Linked DNA regions of Astyanax mexicanus. The protein of the gene in region 2 purifies or fractionates together with the protein of the main gene of each other region. This does not show direct contact. Links are inferred from orthologs where the notes say so. Each region holds a gene or a part of one and is shown on either strand. Other genes may lie near its edges.

Region 1 (10,287 bases), on a different chromosome or scaffold from region 2:
TCTCTGTACCCAGGGTCTGCAGCACCTGCACATAGAGAAGAGCAAAGAAGTTGAAGAACTCACAGATTTAAATAAATAATATTCCTGTCATAAAACTGATTACCAGAAACAATTTAACATTTAAACGTACATTGTAAAAAAGCTTGTCTACTAAAAATATGTACGCTGGTCCAGTGGTCTAAAGCGCTGCCACTATGAGTGGGAGGTCGCAGGTTCGAACCCCCACTTATGCAGCTTTGCCATTAAGCTGCCAGCGCTCAAAATTGGCCCTGGGTGGGTAGATGGCGCTCTCTCCCCACATCACTCCTAGGGTAATGTCCACAGCACAAGGCATCTGTGAGCTGATGTGCGCCCCAACACACGGAGGGTGAGGACTACCACCTACCACATCCAATACAATGCAGAATAGCATCACAGTGAGCTCAGAGGAAAGCGCAACAACTTAGTTCCGATACATCAGCTCACAGATGCCTTGTGCTGATTGACATTAAAACAAAGTCACCACAGCTAAAAACAGCGCTAAAACGAGGAAATAGGTTTATAAAACAAACCATAACATTTAAGCCATTACAGAAATATTTCTAGATACCCACTTGCTCCACACAGCTCTTCACCAGGCAGCTACTTCATTTTGTTCATCATAGCATTAATGTGTTCCTACCATTAACCAGAACATTGTCACTACAGGACTCTTAGGCTTAGACGGTAGTGTGTATTGGCTGCTAGATATTTGCCTTAAATTCTGCAGAGTTTAAGATCTCCATTACACCAACATTAGATTTAGCTCTGCAAAACCTAAATACCACTAAATTGGTGTTGGAGCCAATCTGGAATATATTGTGTCTACATTGTGTCAGTGTTGTGGACTCGCACATAAATTCCCCTTGAGAACAATGCTAAAGTAATTAATAAAAAGGTAAATTACTGGGGGAAGAAGTTCCTTACATAGTTTTTAATCTCCCTGCGAGCATTGCCATCGATGGCCAGCCATCTCTGCTGGTACTGCGCTTTCACATCAGGGTCCTTGGACGTGAGGGAGTTTTTCACCTGCAGCCCGGCAGCGACTCTGGCTACCTGGGTGTTTCCAGGATTAGCCAACACCTTGGAGAGCTCCACCAAGAAAGTGGGCTGAAGAGAAGAAGGAAGAACACAAAGTTAACAAAAATTAAATATAACAAACATTTTAGTGGCAACATAACAGAAGCCCCTACTATTTGGGCTGACTAAATTCAAATTAACAGGGTAACATAGGCATAGTTATGACAATAAGTTGTTGCATTAAGCTTTGAGTACATTGCAATATTTTCCTTACAGCTGAAACACCAGCCAGCTGCAGATATTATATAGCACAATTATATAGTCCTGTTTCATAAAACTCATTGTGTGAAATACTGAATTTAGTACAACACTTATAGTACTTCATAACTTATTTTAGTAAAGCAAACAATTGTAATGCACATAGTTATTTTTAAAAAAAGCTAAATATTAAGACAACACTTGGCTGCTCCATGTAAAAAAAAAAAAAAATCTCTTCTTCCTATGAGGGAGTTTGTCACTTGCTAATGACTGGTTCACTCAAAAAAGGGCTGGGACTAAGTTGCTTTGTTACAACACTGATACAAATAATTGAACTTCAGATATGTTGTTAGGGAGACAAACTCCTTGGCTGTACAGTGCAATCCCTGGAACTAATCTTAGAGAACAAGCTCATGTGTAAATAACCTGCCTGTTTTTTTACAATTAACTTTCCACGGTCAGGCATAAATCTCACAGCACCGATGGCAATAAAATAACTAGGCTGCATTGAGATCAAATTCAATCCACCAAACCAATCAATAGTATGATATCAGATAAATGTAGGTGAATTATATTGCTCTGGTCAGAATGCAACTGTCAAGTAGGAACAAAGTCAAAGAATTGGAGGGATACGTCTGATTTTTACACATCTGTAGCTTTAGGAGGCATTAAATGAGCCAAGATTCAGTACAGCTTTACAGTATCGTTTAAAAATAAATATCAGTTTATTTACTCAATTTGAATCTTATCAATCTTGTGTCGTATATAATGTTTACTATACAGCAGTACATATAAAGCAAACTGGCTTACTGTCTGACCGGTTTATCTGGACCTGTAACATGGTGTAATGCACACAGCTGTGCAGGCATTTGCGGCAGGACTCGCCGTTTAAATCAAGGGATTAACAATCAGTGATACGGGAGTTACAGAGGCCCAGTGGCCTGCTAACGGTGAGCTGCTCCATTCAGGGCAACGTGTGGAGGAGAGAGAGAGAGAGAGAGAGAGAGAGAGAGAGAGAGAGAGAGAGAGAGAGAGAGAGAGAGAGAGAGAGAGAGAGAGACCAGTGCTCACTGCAGTCAAGCCTTCATCAGTCTGCTCGAATTTAAACCAGAAGAAATAAAGCTTCACGAAACTTACCAGATTTTCAATCGCTGCCTGCTCCAAAAACTTCTGCGCCGCCTCCAGCTCATTTTGATCTGAGGAAAATGACAGACTGTAAATGAAGCTTCAGCAAACCAACCGGTGTACACAGTTAAAGTTGGAGAGACACAGTAAACGCACAACAAAAATTATTAAAAAGTAGAAAGTTTATATCTAGCTATAACTCTACTAGTTAACTAGCTAAAGCCGTGTAAGTTAACGCTAGCTAACGTGAACCTCCCCTTTTAAGATGTAGCTACCACTCCCTCCCGCCGGGCATGAAGAGAACCAGTCCCGGTATCCGCTAACATACCGGTCCAACCCAGCCTGCAATACCGGCCAACTCTAGCCCAATTTCAGCGTTAAAAACACATAATAATCGGCACAGACGCGATATCTCACCTATATGTGCGAATTAAGCTACTGATCTTTTTTTATTCCCCGAGATCTGCGCGGCTATAAACCTATAAACTTTTAATGAGCCGGCTAGCTAGATTTTAGCGCTCTCTAGCTAACGCTAAGCTAGTCTTACGGCTAACTGAGCTATCGCCAACTTCTGACGGGTTAGCAACCGACAAACTTACCAAAACGAAATTCTTTAGTAAATAACGCCACTTTTGTTAATTTATATACACTTTACACACACAGAAAACGCACTAAAACGTTTACGTGGGTGTTTATGGACCCAGTACGGACTCAAACGGCTCACAAAATCAGCCAAAAAACCCGCGCCGAGTTAGCTAGCCAACCTAACGCTAGCTTGGTTAGCTAAGCTAGCGAGCTAACGGGCCGGTAAACGCTAAAAGCTGACAGCTAACCGCGCATTTTTCAACACCCGCCCCACACTACATCACCGCCCCGACCCTACGTTACGACCTTTCTATTTATTAACGAGTTAAACCATATATATCATATATAAAATCAGCATACAGCACACTGTGAGCTGAAGGAAGTCGCTAAAGTTGAATCCAACTAGGTATCCGCCGTTCGAGTTTTCAGTCCACCTTAAAACCCGTGCCGCAGGTTCACTGTGGCGCTGCGATACGACGTTTAAGGTGGAACTGAGAGTTAGAAAGAGCGCTAACTTCAGCGGCGTCCCAGCTGGGCCCATAGCATGCTAACATAGCTGGCTAGCATAGAGTTAGCCGCCTTGCTAGCGGTGCCTAGCCCGAACCCAGCCTGTCAGCCAGCATTTCAGAGCATTTTAGACAATCTTCCCCCAGAACTGAGGCAGCGGAACTGCAGCCAGCCTGGGAGGAACAGCACAGGGTGTTTAGAGATTAAAGCGGCACCTGGAGAGACGGTTTTCTCGAGGATCGTTATCAGCTCCATCCCGGATTAACACCTCACACTCGGGCTACAAGAGAGGGGCTAACGCGCTGCAGATGAAACAGTGGAACTCTCGGAAATGCCCCGCTCTCTCTTTCCCCCGTCTCTCGCTCGGCTCTCCGCACTTGGCCGGTTGTTTGTTTCCTCGCCTGTTTGTTGTTTGTCGTTCCGCGTGCTCTGCTCCTCTGTTCCAGCAGTTCGCACTCTGCCCCGCGTGCGGAGGGAAAAGAAAGGCCCGCGAGACTCCCGCGGTACGATCACGCGCATGCGCGCTGCACTTTAAATAAATAAATATATAAAATACCCGTACACCCCTCCTGCGCGCTCCCGTGACTCAGCATGCGCGCTCTCCAGATGAGGACAGGTTCTTCAGAACATTTTTTATTTTATTATTTTAATATAATTTATTTAGGAATAAATTAGTGAATTAACCCATCAAAGCCCAGACTCAGTTCTGAATATTGATCTAAAATGAAAAATGTAATCGGTTAAATTAATTGAGCAGCTCATTCGTGTTTTTTTCTTATTGTAATTAATAAAAAACACTAAACTTTTAATATTTTATGGTTAACATTCCAATAAAACATAAACAGTACAACAATGTCATAAGTTGTATTTTAACATTTTATTCTAGAAATAATATCAGCACCAGTTATATACACTTTTTACTATATGATGAAGCTAGAACTAACTACCTCCAGAACTAACCCAGCACTCCTACATTCTGTAAATAAGACCAGATAAACAAGCACACATCTACACACTCTACTGTAATGCTCCCAGAAGGTTCAGTATGCATCACTTAGGAACTTCATGAGTTTAAGTGAAGGACAAAGTGCTTTAAGTAACTTTACACATCTTTTAAAGGCTCAAATCATCATTGGCTGTTTTGGGATAAATACGTGTTCATGTGTTAATATTAATGTTATTTATTTAATATTTTGTTATTATTTCGATGTGATTTTTTCTGTTAATTATTGGATCATAATATTAACAGGGTAACTTCAAGAATCTTTAACATGTTGCTCTGTGCTCACCCTGCAGATAATTTCACCGGGTACCTACCTCAATCCCAAATTCATAGCCAAGAAAGCCCAGCAACATCTTGTAAAGACTGAAGAAAGCTCAGACTGAGGAATCATCCCTATATTTTACAGAAGGACTGTAGAATCACAGCATCTCTGTCCTATAACCTATATAACCTATAACCTAATCTAATATTGAGGACAGCTGAGATCGTCTTTAGTCTCCATCCTCTCCATCCTAAACAGAGGGCCATTTTTGGGGGTCCCAAGCAAAATGCATTTTTTGCCAGCTGCAGGAATCACAAACCTGGCTGGATGATTACTGTCAGCAACTAGTGGAAGGGCCCCTTGAGGGGGATTCCGGTATCAGTGTCATTGTACTTTCCTGCAGTGACCATCACAGAATCATCATAACCAGTCAATGTCTCAGGGCCCTAGACAATTGATTGGTTTTTCTTGCCTTGTTGCAACGGGCCTGATATTTACACCACACACCAAATCGGCAAAGCCATCACTATTATAAAAACTCTCCTCAATCCCCTACAGAACCTTTTTAATTAGTGATGCTGTCTGACAGAAGGTACCAGAGCACCTCTGCTCTGACTGGCGTGCTCCTCAATAAACAGCAGCTCTGGGCCACAGTCAGAGAGGCTGTAAAGTTTTGGCTCATAGTTTCCATTTGTACAGTTGCTGTTATTGTATACAAGATGTCCTCCATAGTACACCCAAAGTACAGTCTGATCATTATTAATGATTGGATGCTTAATTACCAGTATTAATTACTGAGTGATTATTAATTAGGTGCTTGTTGTTCTCAGGGTTTTCCTTTCTGCTTGGCAAATGAGGGCTTAAACCCGTTGGCTGCTACTTTCCCATAATCCCCTGGTCCGATCTAATAAGGGGCGCTCACTGTAATCCTCACAAACTTTCTGCTCCACTTGTTTCGAGTCTCATATCTGAGACCAGTAAATAAATGTGCAGTACTTAGTAAATACAGAAATAATAATCGGTTATAGTTTAAGTTTAAAAACCTGAAAAAGAGCTGAATTGTTTGATGCTTTTGTGTGGAAAATTTGAGAGCAGTATTAAAATAATTACCAATAATAAACAAAAATGTCCTACTAAAGGTTTTTATAAACCTATTAATTCTGGACTTGATCTAAGACATTATCAGGTTGTATGACTCCCTTGAGAGGCAGTAAGAGCAAAAACTGTCCCTGTCCTGTTGCTGCTGTCTCGCGACACCCACCTACTGTCCCGTGACACTCACGTACTGTCTCGCGACACCCACCTACTGTCCCGCGACACTCAGGTACTGTCTCGCGACACTCACGTACTGTCTCGCGACACTCACGTACTGTCTCGCGACACTCACGTACTGTCCCGCGACACTCACCTACTGTCTCGCGACACTCACGTACTGTCCCGCAACACTCACCTACTGTCTCGCGACACTCACCTACTTTGTATTATGACACTGGAAATATTATATAATAGATTTGATGGTCAAATCTAGGGGAATTATCTCATAAGTCTTAAGTCGTCTCAAAAAAACTAAGATAAGACACAATGTATCACATTGCGGCACAGTTAAAAGCTCCACAGGACAGTTAAAAAGCTCTGCAGGACAGTTAAAACAGTTAAAAACCTCCGCGGTACAGTTAAAAAAAACTCTGCGGTACAGTTAAAAACCTCCGCGGTATAGTTAAAAAACCTCCACGGTACAGTTAAAAACCTCCACGGTACAGTTAAAAACCTCCGCGGTACAGTTAAAGAGCTCTGCAGGACAGTAGGAGAGTGTCGCAAGACAGTAGGAGAGTGTCTCGGGACAGTAGGTGAGTGTCGCGAGACAGTAGGAGAGTGTCGCGGGACAGTAGGAGAGTGTCGCGGGACAGTAGGAGAGTGTCGCGGGACAGTAGCAACAGGACAGGGACAGTTTTTGCTGTTACTGCTGCTGACTCCCTTTTAGGTTTAAATGGTTATGGTGGGCGAGATAACCAGCCTGTTATTTTTTAAAACATGAGAGTTTTAGAACAGTAACACTTTTATTTATGATCGGGTGTTCAGCAATACGCAGTCAGTAGTATAAAGTTTACTGAAACTATTGTGTTTACTTTCTTCGTTTTGAATGCTTGACAAGCTAGTGAACTAAAGTAGACGTTTTTGTGCTAGACTTACATGATAAATTCTAATTTTACTTCTCTTGTACTCTGTACACTATTGGATGAATATAGTAAAACATTTCATAATTGACAACTTTGGGAGATACTCTGAGGGGAAAGTTCAGGTCAAATTTTTGGTATATCTGAATTCTAACCAGTTTGATTTTTGACAGTCTGGACAGTCAAAAAATACATGAAATAATTTTTTAAAAACTGGATCCAAACTGCATTTGGAAGTGGTTTAAAATGCAATTGCATTCGGATTTGTAAAGATAGGTCTCTGGGTGATCAAATCTGATTTTATCATTGTCTTTGCATCACTTACAATGTAATAAACAGCAGTTTCATCCAATTCAGAGTGATGGAAGTGGGGAGTCCAATAAGAACGACAAAGATTAGGTAACGACAGTGACCTTGTTAACTTATCAACTCATTTAGATATGCTTTTAATGTCTGGACATGCACAGTCATCTCAACAAATCTGATTTGAGAAACTAATCTGACTTGCCTTAAGTCTAAGACTAACCACAAAAGGATACATGGACAAAAGTATTGGGACATGTCTAAATGACTGAACTCCAGGATGTCCTCCCTCCTTAATATTCCATAACTGTGATTTTCCAGCTGTGAGCGGTATGTGTCTGACCATGTACAGGTACAGTGCAGATGTGCTGACTGCTGAGGAGGGCAGTGCATAGAAGTTTCTAATGCTCTTAAAGCTTCAAAGGGAAGGTAAACTCTATATTAATGTCTCTGGGTTCAGAAGGGGACGACGTCTTAAAGGCCACGTTCACATTACAAACCAAATTGTCCAAAAACGTTTTTTTTTTTTTTTTTTTGCTCAGATTGGATTTAGATATCTTGACGGTTCACATTCTCAAATGTAAGTGACCTGTATCTGTGTGTAATGTGAATGAATATGTCCCTGAAACACCTCACATGCGCACACTGATTTGTGTATAAACGTCGCCTTCTTCACCACCAACACAAAACGTCATATTTGAGAGGCGACTCGTAGCTTTATAAAGGGAAATGGATGAGTTAGCAGCTCATATGTGGAGCATCTTTTGCTGGAGTGGAGAACAAACAGCTGGTCTGAAGTACAGTTCAGGTCGAGGAGAAAAAAAACAACCAGGCGGTTTGCTTTTGCAGTTTTTGCACCCATAGCTGCACCAAGAGAAGTGTGGGTACGAGAGAGAAGCACATAGGGCATGCACAAAAGAAAAAGATGCATAAATTCTGATTTGACCATTCACATTCATTTCACATGTCAATGTATCGAATAGGTATGTGATTTAGGACCATATGAAAGTGACTAAAATCTCATTTGAAAAAAAAAATTGGCCACATTGAGCAAAAAAAAGCAGATTTTTCTTCAGCCTGGTAATATGAACATAGCCAAAAGCTCATGTATGTGTAATATGTAGGTGCCCTAATACTTTAGTCCATGTAGTGTGTTGATACATTTGAAACAAAAAAAGCTAAAGCTAACTTTAGCCTGGTGTACCAAATTAATAAATCAGAGCTAATAAGCTACTCAAATATAACAGGCTAACATAGTGATATTTCAAACTAATACTAACCAACCTAACCCTACTAACAGGGTTAAATCATGATAACATAAGCTAATAGTGCAATAGGTAAAGGTCAGTCAGAGATCACAGTAAATTAACTAAGGATTGAGATGCGAGGTCCACCTGTGGTGACACCCATTTCACATCAGCTCAACTGCAAAATTCTAGTAAGACTAACAAAGTAACATGAAGCAGGAAAAAAAGTAAAAGAAACCTTGACTATTAACCCAGTGAAAACATGATTGTGGTGGCTGTGTTACATATATATGAGTATATAAGCATTCAAGTCCATATTTTATTCAACTTAATTCATATTGCAGTCATTGTGAACAGCTGGGATTTCAATATACACAATAGAATTGTAACATTTTCTGCCACCCCGCCTAACCCAAACCCAGCCCATCTTCACAAAAATCCAACTCTCTGCTCCCCCCACCCCCCCCCCTCCGACTATTACACATGGAGAAAACCTTGACAAACAATAATCTCCCAATCCTCTAGAGCCAAACCTGCATACTGATCCTGTCCTTTGTGTATTTCTGTAAGTCAGTCCATAAGTCTGTCCGTCAGTCCGTCCTGGACATGTGCGTGAAGTCAGTGTATGAGTGTACGTGTGTGTGTGTCAGGGTTCAGCTGTACAGGTCTCCTATCAATATATAAGTGTGTGTGTGTGTGTGTGTGTGTGTAGTCAAATATGCACACCATTCTACCTCCACAGAGCTCAAATGGCTTCAACGTTCTGCTGAGCTTGGCCCACCTTCATAAAGAAACGTCTACAGAGTGTGTCAGGGAAGAAAAGGATAATCCCCCCCTTCTTTCTTACTGGAGCGTCTGTGTTTTATTTTTTCCATCAAACGGATGCCATATGAATCTCAGCCAAAATTAAACAAACAAAAAAAAAGAACCAACCAAAAATAAATCCCAAAATAAAAACAGTGGGCACCAGCAGAGTGGCATTACTCATTACTGTTATCGCCTCGGCCTTCTCCGAGCAACTTTTTTTTTTTTTTAACTGACTGTTCAAGCCTCACCCGTCTTTAAAACCCCACCCACCTCCAAAATATCCCCTCCCACCCCACCCCTCTTCCTCTCTCCGTCGGTGTCAGTCAGTGTCTCAGCGTGTGTAAACGATAAATGTGTCTTGGTATGAAGCGCTGGCAGTGGCGGGGCACTATTTCAGACACCGCTCAAAGTAGGTGGCCCCTACGTATCCACCGCGAAGTGACCGCTGGACGTTCTGCTCAAAAAGTCGCCGGTTCGTCTGCAGCACCTCCGCAGCCTCTTTGTTCAGCGGGTCTTCAGGATTTGGCTCCTGCAGGGAAAACACATGGATAACTCAGTTTCAGCTCTGCACACTGAACAATCTGAACATTAAAATTATAATTTTTCCAAAAATCTTATTCTTCAAGTTAACCCTCTTGACCAGTCAGGACATTTTGATTCGTTTCCTCATTAGTTTTTGTACTGTAAAATCTCCACAGCTCTCTGAATCACTCCTCTTGCAAATAATGTGAACCAACTTTTACTGTAAAATCATCACTGCTCTCAGTCTCTCTCTAGAGAAAGTAAATTAACTCACACTCTAAAATTACAACAGCTCTGAATCTTCTTTAAAAAAAATCATGTAGGTCTTAAATCTAGTTTCTTCCTTCAGAACATTGACCCTTATTCAATCACCACAGCTCCTCTCCTAAAGAATTCTTACTTACTTCACAACCATTCTTAAAATCTATCACAGAGAATTTAAAGTGAAACTGACTC
Region 2 (10,637 bases):
AAGGATAACTGCTTACTAAACATTTAAAAATTCCTTATAATAGTCTGTGATTAATCATCATTCACTAGTAGTTCCTTGTATTTTAAGGAGGGAGAGAGTAATAGTGTGGTGTGGTTTAGATCTGGCAATATTACTGTGTATAATATCTCAGGATAGTTTTGAAGCTTTTAAAATTAGAATATTGTAATGTGTTGAGTTACTGAGTTCTAATGGAGAAAATAAACACTAGTATAGCTCCATATTCCACTTTGCAAATAGGAAACATACAATCAGCTGTTTGCAAACGAGCGTGCACGAGTGTGGGACAGAGCAAGTATTCGAGAGTGAGCTCCTGAGAGTCTTCAGTACAGCAAAGGTGTGTTAAAGGGTGGATGAAAGCAGCTGATGGCTCCACAGGTAGTTTACTGGATTAGTGGCCTTGCTAACTTGGTTCTTTGATAAGCAGCGCAACACGAACACTCATGCAGACAAACTCATCCTTAATAAGATCTCTGACATGGGCAAAGCTAAGTGGGGCAGGGTGGTTTGGTGAAAATTAAACACGCTGACCAAAAGCTGTGGAATCATCTTCAGTGACAACTTGACTGAAACTGTCGAAATGCAAGATCAAACGATATGCGTGCATTAGAGAAATAAATCGTACAAGAGCACTAGGTCAAGATGCATGCTTGTTAAAAAAAATATATGTACTTGTTTTTCAGGAACAGTATCCCTGATTAGTCACCATAACATGTCACACTATTACTCAATTTTTTTTTTAATCCACTTTTTACTCTTCTATAACTGTACATGTTTAATTGACGTCAATTATTACCATGGTCCATTTTGCACCTGTATTTAAAATTGTAGTCATTGTACTTACAATCATCTTCATCTGCTACTTTTTCTGATGTGGCCTCCTCCTGTGGGCGACCGGCTATCTGAACAAGCTCCTTGATGACTTCCTCTGTGGTGATTCGGCTATCTATTGCCAGGAAGGCGTCTTCTAAAGCCTGGAGACACAGAAGCAAACAGTATAAAAAAAGTATGTAATCAGAGATATAAACTCCATTTTCATGTTCAGTATAATCAAATTACACTTACTAAGATGACTAATAAGAGTGGAACCCGAGACATATTTGCACCTCTGACTTATGCCAGAACAGAGGGCGGTCTGGTGCAGATTTAACATTACAATGGATGGCATCAACACGCTAGCTGCTCTAAATTTCTGGTGAAATCCATAAATGCTACTTATCAAATACCAAATAATTGACAGCTAAGGTCCTTTCATTTAACCAGCTGCAATATCCTAGCAACCACTGTTAGGTGTGCGCCTCGCAAACAGAGGACACATGCACAAAAGCTGCTTTAAAAGTACACAGAACATCTGTGTACACACAATTAACACTGCTTAACTCAGGGCCTGACACTTGCTATGGTTTACCAGTGCAAAGCCTTTACATTCTCTCCTTGAAATGGTCAAAATATACTTTGTGGTTGAAAGGAAGACTGATGAATGCACAGCTGTAATCTTCTACGCTTGCACAAAAACTACTGTGCTTACCTTTTGCAGTTTGCCATCTTTGTATGCCTTCTGCTCCTTTATGATGTCGGGTAAATATTTGGAGCAGTACAAAGCAACTTCTTCACCTGGAAGGAAAGAGAAAGTGCATATGTCTTACTATCAGGCCCACATACTGCAACTGATGAACTGTTGAATTTGTTCTAATGTTTTAAATGCCAAGGTCCTCAGAATTCTACCAAGCATGAGTGGGGCTACTTTGAGCTTGTTAATGGTGTAGAAATTTAGAAGAGATTTATTTTATTTATTTCGAAATTGATTTTTACATGGGCAACACTATGCACCCATCACTTGCATTGTAGGTCTGCTGGGAGAATTGTCTAACAGTGCTGTATTTTGTAATGCTGGGGGTGAACAGAAGTGGGCTATTATACTGTTATCAAGTTTAGCACTAAATCAAGTCCATTTCACACCAGATTTCTCCTATAACCTGGTGTGTTGAATAGTTGCAGTGGAGGAAAATTACTACCGGTAAATATTTTGATGTAACAAATTTCATAACAGTTTGGTTAAATGGTTGGAAAAGCTCAATAAAATAAGCACTAACCTTGCACACCTACAGTCTGTAAATAAGGTCAGATAACGAACACAGATTCACACAATGTCCTGTGATGATGCTTTCAGGATGCTCAGTATGTGTCACTTAGGAACTTTATGAGTTAAAATGAGGAATAAAGTAAATTAAGGAACTTTACATCTCTTTTAAAGGGTCTGTGACGTGTAAAAAAAAAAGGTGCCCCTTTCTTTGTGCGTCACCCCACAGGACATTACACTACAGAAACTTAATATTTAGTTAGCTAATGCACAGAAGAGAAAACAAGCTCATCTCAATTCCAAGAAAGGGGTAGTGTTAACTGATTTAATGCGCTTTTACATATCAGAGCAGAGGCTGATAACGACTATGTTAGCTAGGTACTTGGTGATTAACGCAAGCCACGTTTCCTCACCTCCATGTCCATCATAGACAGCAAACATAGCAGTCTCGTCATCCAGCTCGGGAATACAGTTGTGTGCATCCTGTTAGTGTAGATATAGAGGAATTATCAGAGTGGATGAGGAGGGCTGCAGAGCTGGAAGGCCACAGAACAATGCAGACAGCCATGTGGCGGCGAGCAGACAGAAAGTTAAACTGGCGCGAAAACCCGCGCACACATCACACTGTTCAAACACGACCCTGAGAATCGCAGCTAAGCTAACTAACCTAACTCATTCAAACAGCTTAGGTAGTTAGGTTATAATACCTAGTGCTGCATGGCTGGTAAACTAGCTACATTGTCTGAAGCAGCAGAATGAAAGAGAATGAGGCCGGTGTTGTGTCGAGTTCTGCTACCTTGTCAAACTGTGCTACCTTAGTGTATGTTTAACTGTAAAAATACAAACTATTAGAACATGCTGCATGCAGCAGCACTGTCGGTATGATATTTGAATAGCATAAATCGCTATATCAAGGTAAAGTTAAGAAAGTATAGGCGATTAAAAAAACATTTATATGTGCATTTTTTGTTACTTTTTACACTGTTGTTACACTCAAACAAACGATGATTTTGAGTCTAGATTGTACAAGGCATCCGGAAGAATAAGTTAATTATCAGGAAAAACCAAAGCAGTTGGTACAAAACCCTGGATTGGGTTTTTACTTTCTGGACCTGGGTTACCCACCTCTAAGGAAAAAACACATGAAAACAGTAAAAAAAATTATATATATTTTCGCGCCTGCGCAGAGCCGCAAAGTAGCACATATCGATGGGTAGCACAACTCGATAGGACACCGGCCCTCACTTCGAACTCCATTAAGTGTATTTGAGTTCAATTTATGAGCTGCAGTTAGCTGTATCGAAGTGAACGGCTAGCTGAGCTTAGCTAATATTAACTAACATAACCCCACTGATTCTGCCTGCTCCAGGCTTCCCATAAGATAGCTTAGCTTAGCTATATTAGGTTAGGTTGGTTTGTTACCTCCATGGAAATGCGCCATCCCTGCATGGCTGCAAAGCCGTACTGGAGCTTGTGGTTCCCGCCGTCGGCCGAGGTTTTCTCCGTGTTGGGCTGAGACAGGTATGCCCCCATGATCCAGCCGAGCTAGCTAAGCTATTGTTGTGGGAGCTCGAGAAGAACAGCACGCAGCTGGTTAAGCTACAAAACAAACCGAGCTGTTTTATTTAAGCTAGCTTCAGCTAACTCACAGACGAAGCAGAGCTCAGAAGCGGCGTGTCTGGTGGAGCTCAGATGGGCTCTCCAGCATTTCAGAGGCCCGGGCAGAAGAGAGCGAGGAGCAGGCGGTCAGTTCGAGAGCTGCTGGCGCTGCTACTGCTGTTCACCCGGTACTTTTCCCCGGCTAGCTAGCGCCTCTATAATCACTGCTAGGTTAACTAGCGTTAGCCAACGCAGGACTATAACGTAGCTAGATTAGATGCTGCTGCTGCTGGAGTTTGAGCCAATCACAGAGTCGCTCTCACAACCGAGAACCTAACTACACAAAAACACACCGGCGGCGGGGTTCAGGAGGCTCAAAAAACACACAGGAAAAATGTAACACGTGTGAGGGGCATAATCAGCGGCGGCAGCAGCCTGTCGGACCCATTTCACAGACTGGTGTTCTCTAAAGGAAGTGGAACCAGAGCCGGTTTTCGGAGAGCCTGCCCACTTTCTCCTTCCCCTCTCACCGTTATATCAGAGAATTACAGCCCACCGCTAGAGGGAACCCGCGAGGGAGACCCAAATTAATGGGAGTGAATAGAGCTAAACGGCTAAACTCAAATTAAAATAGTATCTAACTGCTTGTCCGTTATATTCCTTTATTAAAGGTCGCATTTTATCGTTTTTTTTAATAATTATGCAGTGGTCTTTAGTATTAATGAATGCCCTGTAAGTCAGATTTTTTTTTGAGGAAAGTGCAAGAGGTGTCAACTAACAAAGTACGGATACTTCATTAGCTACCTTACTTAAGTAGAACTTTTGGTTATCTCAGACGACTTTTTACTTGGTGTTGCTATACACCTGAAAATATTAGATCTGTATGTATAATAACTTTCATTATAAAACATTCATTTAAAAACTGTTTCTCCCCTCCACCATATGTGAGTACTGGTCCTCCCCAGGTTTCTTCCTCCTCCAGCTCTGAGGGAGTTTTTTCTTGCCTCTGTCCCTCAGTGGGGTTTCTGTATTGTATGTTTTGCCTGATTCTCTGTCCCACGATCACATTTATTTAAAGCTGATCAGTTGTTCAAAGTGCTATACAAATAAGTTTGGTTTGATTTGATCATTTCTAATTCTTACATTTAAAAAAATGTTAGCCTCGTTACTCTTATTTCCTTTCAGCTTGTTTTCATTCCGGCTTCTCAGCATAAAAAAGTATCCAGATAAATCTTTCTATATTAGGATAAAGGGACACACACACACAGAATAGATTCTTAAGTGGCTATTCTCCTCTCAGTTGTTTTTTTGGTTGAACCGAAAGGCCCGCATAATTGGTAGAGTCGAGCTGATGGAGACTGAAGTTGCGCCTTTGAGCAAAACGGCAGTCGATAGACCAAACATTCAAACAGTGAATTTTTAAAACATTGATAATCAGATACTATAGTTAAACAACGATATAACATTTCACAATCCTACAGATGTCAAGGCATATTAATAAAAACGAAAAAAAGAAAAAATATTCCTGTGGAATGTATAATTTACAAAAATATGTAAAATATAATATACCGTGCATGTATCCATTGTTTTAACAGTTCTGTTATTTTTGGAAATATTTTTAGTAAACGTAAATTTATAAATAAAACATTTATTTAACCCAAACAATACATAACAACTAAGCAAAATGTTTTCATACACTTTAATCTCACAATTGCATTAGACTGTTTTATTAATAATAATAATAATAATAATAATAATAGTAATAATCATTTTCTCATAAAATACAAAACATAAAACGGGGAGTATAAAAAATACAAGGAGATTAAAAGTGTTGCATTACAGGACTTTAAACTTTATTAAGAGAAAAATTAGATCTCATTTTCATTTTTTTTTTACAATGATTTAAAATATTTTAAATGTTTTTTTTTTCGTAAAATCGTAAAGTAATGTTGCAATTACATTAAAATCTCTAAAGAAGTTTCGTAATTTCAATATAAATGTTTGTGGTGGATGAAATAGTGAAAATATAGAGGCAGCAGTCAGAATAAATTTTAGATTAAATTGATCTCAAAACAGAGCTTGGCAACATGGCAATATTTTATCATATTTTAATAAATTTTCTATCATACAGACACTATTATTTTTACACATATTGAGATCATAAACGCTTAAAGAACTCTAACCCAACTGTACATTTTATTACATGCTGGTTATAATGAAAAAAAATGTGTATTGTGTAAATGTCTTTAACTATCGTGGCCATCCATCTCAACATATCTAAACCTATGGTTTTGTCTTGGTTATAGAAAATAATACAGTACATCAATACACAAGGGCGTAGGAGTGGGTTTGACATTAGGGGGACACATTTGCTAATATAAAACAAAGCCCACCCTATAGTTAACAACATGTATGTAATTACTTTTAATCACAAATCTGTACTTCTCTTTATTATTAATTACATCAAAGTAAAGGCCACTTTACAACCTAAACGTTACTCCACATTACTGTTGTTAGAAAAAATTATGCGTGCGTATATACATATATAACAAAAACTGACCAGTTATCACCTAATATTTAAAATAACATAGGATATGTGGTTATTATTATTATTAGTAGTAGTAGTACTACTATGTTTTGGCATGCCAATTCTGTTCTATATTTGTATACTTACATTTGCTCCACTCTTAAAAATAAATAAATAAAGAAAACGCAACTACATAAAGAAAACGCAGCATTTCAGAAACGCTGCGTTAAGAAAAACGAAATTACTTAATTACGTTTGCCACACTGGAAATGCTCCCAGCCGCTAGAGGGCGCTGTTTAGCTGCTGTTGAGCTGGCGTGTCAGCATGGCCGCCATATTGGAGGAGGCAACATGCGCCCCCCAGTGCATTAATTTACACTGAGGAAGGTGTTTAGTACACCTATAATAATAAGACCTTTCACAGGATTTTTAGTTACAGGAGATACAGGACGCTGTCACACATTACAAATATGTGCTTTCATGCTGACATACTTTGTTTTATGCTCTTTAACAAAGACAGACGTACGGTATGGCATATAATAACTGTATAAATGAACTAATTTAATTTTTATATGTACACACACATACTCTTCATTTTGCTCAAATATATACCTATAAAGAGCATTACTTTTATATGTATGTACATATAAAAAAATAAATTATTTAATTTATACTGTAATGTATATATATAATGTATATAGTAATGCAGTTGTGCTGTCATTTTTTGTTTGCTTTATGAATGCCACTGTATTATTTCGTTAATAGTACAGCTGAGCTGAACGGAAGGATATCATTTATGCGAGGGATCAATATCTGGTGGCCAGGCACGGTCCGGCACTGGGCGCTCACAGACCGGGCTTACACCCTGTTATGCTAACGCCGCATTAGCGACCCCGTGAGCGGGCCAGAGTCTCTGTGTTAGCATGCTGTTATGCTAACACCGCGTTAGCATGCTATAATGCCACCCCAATAAGTGGACCTGTGTCGGTTTAGCTTGGACCAGGGCAGAACACATGGTTATTTCTTTTCATGTTTTTGTCACTTTCTTAAGGGAATCAATAACAAAAAGTATAATGTATTTTTTTTTTGCAAACTTGTTAAAAAAAAAGTTCATTCGAAATGATTTAAGACTTTTTTGTGAACTGCTTTTAAATATTTAGTAGACTGTTGTATGTTTTGTTCACTTTGCATTTAATCTGAATCTGTAGATGGGACTGTGAAACTGAGTTTTTGTTTTCAATTCCTAAATATTTTTGCACAAGTCTGTTACATTTTTAATTCATTAAGGTGAATATGTAAATTGAACTTGTTTTGATTGAGTTAGACTGATTTAATATTTAAAGGTGACTTTGTAAATTGAGCTTGTTTTAATTGAGTTAGACTGTCTTAATATTTAAAGGTGAATATGTAAATTGATTTTTATTTTATTGAGTTAGACTGACTAAATGTGTGCTGTAAACCCTGGGGAATAGCTTGTATCAATGGGGTGATTTTATGATAAAGCGGATAGAGTTTGTGCTGTAAACTCTGGGGTAGAACTTGTATCAGTGGGGGGATTTTATGATAAATCAGATAGAGTTTGTGCTGTAAACACTGGGGTATAGCTTGTATCAGTGGGGTGACTTTATGATAAAGCGGATAGAGTTTGTGCTGTAAACACTGGGGTATAGCTTGTATCAGTGGGGTGACTTTATGATTAAGGGGATAGAATTATTGCTGTAAACCCTGGGGAATAGCTTGTATCAATGAGGTAGTTTTATGATAAAGCAGATAGAATTTGTGCTGTAAACCCTGGGGAATAGCTTGTATCAATGGGGTAATTTTATGATAAAACGTATAGAATTTGTGCTGTAAACTCTGGGGTATAGTTTGTATCAATGGGGTGATTTTATGATAAAGCGAATGGTCGTAGTTTAGTGATGTTACTGAACGGACTGTAATGACTCGTATCGGCCGATTAGCGGCGCTGCTGGACATCTCTAGTTACTAACTTTGTAGTTAGGGCTTCATTTACTGTGTTCCCAGCAGTAGTTTCATTGAAAACACCCTCATGGAATGCTGGCGGTTCTAGGGGCGGGGCCACGGGGCATTGGCCCCAGCTTGAAGTGCATGTATACTCTCACTCTGGCCGAGAGCGATGATCAGATTGTAGGTGGCTGCAGTTCCATGCGCATGCGCTAATGAGCCCAATAGGAAAAACACAGTGATTAAAGTTTAAGGGAGATTTTTTGATGTTCTGGACTGACAGTATTTTTATAAAAGTAAAAAGGTTTAAAAAATTAAATAAGATGCTGGATTTTGAGTCTATTTATGAATATAATTTGTTTATGTACAGTAAAAATGCATGTAAAATTGGTAAGGAGATTATTATAAAGTAATTTTTTTCCAGAATGTTTTACACAAAAATATAAAATATCCAGACAAAATTTTAGATTATGTACATATAGAAAAACTAAAAAATCAGAATCAACAAAAATACAAAAAGCACAACAATTAAAGTAAAGACTTAATTAATTAACTCTATATATTCTACTGTTTAAGTGTTTTTAAAATTACGTGTTTGAACATGGTGTGACTGGTGAAATAATACTTGGCACCTCTATAAATGGCCCCTTGCTGGCCCCTTACTCAGAAAAATCCTATCTCCGCCACTGGTTTGGAATTGGAAAGATTCACACAAGTTTTTTGTAAATCAGCAAAACCCAGTAACCAGCTAACGCTAGCAAAGTAAAGTTAGCATGACAGACATTTGTAGCTAATCATTACATTTGTATTACTGAATATTCACATTCACTGCTGTTTCTTTGCATTTTACTTAATGTCAGAAGGAAAAGTCACAGATCTACTGAAGCCAGCTGTCTCATCTCAGCATCAACCTCCAGCAGCAGCTACTGTGAGGTATAGTGAAACCTGCTCTATATTACTGAGAAATACAATAGAGGAACATTTATTTAGAGTATGGAGCAGCACTGCCTTGTATTTTAAATTTGAGATTCACCATAATTGACTTAATTTTCCTTTATGGATCATTACAGTTCAACACCCCTTTCTCAATTCTCACAGCAGGTGGAAGTGTTGCTTCAACACAAGTCTGTGTACATTGGCCTGGAAAGTGAGTACTGGTGGGTGTCAAAATTTCATAGTCTTGATTTTCAACATGAACATTGCCACCATAATCATTAGCCTCAAGCCTGAATGTTATTTGATTGTATTTTATTCTTGTATCTGTATCTTTTTTGTGATTAATTAATTTATTTTAATTGTTTAAGCTAGATATTTTAGTATTATTCCAGGTGCATCTCTTTATAATACATGTAAAAATACATAATTAATTAAATAAAAATAAATCTTCTTACAAAATCTCTGATGTCTATACATTTCATTTTTATTAGACTTAAAAAGTTTCTTACATTTTTGGTCTAATTTAACTTGAAACGTTTTGCTTTTTACAGTTTCTACTTGCCACAGAAGGTTCACACAGTATAAATGACAGCTAATATTTCCATACAGTTTATTGAAATCTCAAATTAATATAGCAAATCAAAAATATAGTTACTGCCTTATAGTTATTGTATTACTATCAAATGAAAATTCATACATTTTTAAGGTTCATGACTGTATTAGAATCAAAACTTGTACTAGACCAAAATAGCAGGTCTAAATAAAGCTCTATATAAGTGCTAATAGCGCCACCTTTTGGATATTCCTTTGGACAAGCCATTATCTTAACAGGCTTCCAACAGGTTATGTACATTTATAAAAGGTATAAATATAAACTAAACACTTATCCTAGATGCAGCTTATCAGACTTGACTGATACAGTATCTGGTTTGATATCTTAACATGTGCCAATGAATTTAGACCATCATCATTGTAGGGCAATTTACGAAAGCATGTTAAACTCGGAAGTAAGAAATCCCAGAACATGAAAAGATGATAAATTGTGTAAAAGTTTTTAGAATTTAAAATCAATATAAATGGGACTATTTAATAGATACATTAGAAAGGAGTAAAAGTACATCAATGGGTCAAAACATAGTATAATTATATCTCGATAGGTCAACACATTTACAACCCAGAGAGAGAGAAACAAAAAGCCAGGTGAGGGGAGTGAGGACCCTTGGGTGTCTCCTCCCGTAACCTAACACAGACTTCATCCAAGCAGTTATACATTTATGCAAATGACATGAAATTTCATACAATCCAATACAATTGGATAGAATCTATCAATATTTGCACTACTGTTATTTACTATTTTTACTGTCATTCCATCTCAATCACCATCAATATTGCACTATTGTCTTACGTATGTTTATTGTGTCTTACTGTATTGAACATATAGTGTCTCCCACTCTTTTATATTATAATTATATATCTATTTTTACTTATTTACTTATATTTATATATCTATTCC

What was found. Proteins that work in one complex are often made in the same cells at the same time.
Region 1: the proteins of ppm1g (region 2) and kpnb1 purify together in Homo sapiens (affinity purification with mass spectrometry; 3 studies listed by BioGRID and IntAct, with this or other methods). This does not show direct contact. The link is inferred for Astyanax mexicanus from reciprocal best matches to the Homo sapiens genes PPM1G and KPNB1.

The regions. Positions count from the first base shown.
Region 1 is NC_064410.1:32,298,871-32,309,157, reverse strand, and holds the start of kpnb1 (importin subunit beta-1), read right to left. Parts: upstream 4,024-10,287; 5' UTR 3,769-4,023; coding exon 3,729-3,768; intron 2,493-3,728; coding exon 2,434-2,492; intron 1,129-2,433; coding exon 946-1,128; intron 26-945; coding exon 1-25. Other genes in the region: ube2m (NEDD8-conjugating enzyme Ubc12), read right to left, coding at 9,698-9,838.
Region 2 is NC_064414.1:18,135,922-18,146,558, reverse strand, and holds the start of ppm1g (protein phosphatase 1G), read right to left. Parts: upstream 4,197-10,637; 5' UTR 3,632-4,196; coding exon 3,521-3,631; intron 2,582-3,520; coding exon 2,512-2,581; intron 1,633-2,511; coding exon 1,547-1,632; intron 993-1,546; coding exon 863-992; intron 1-862.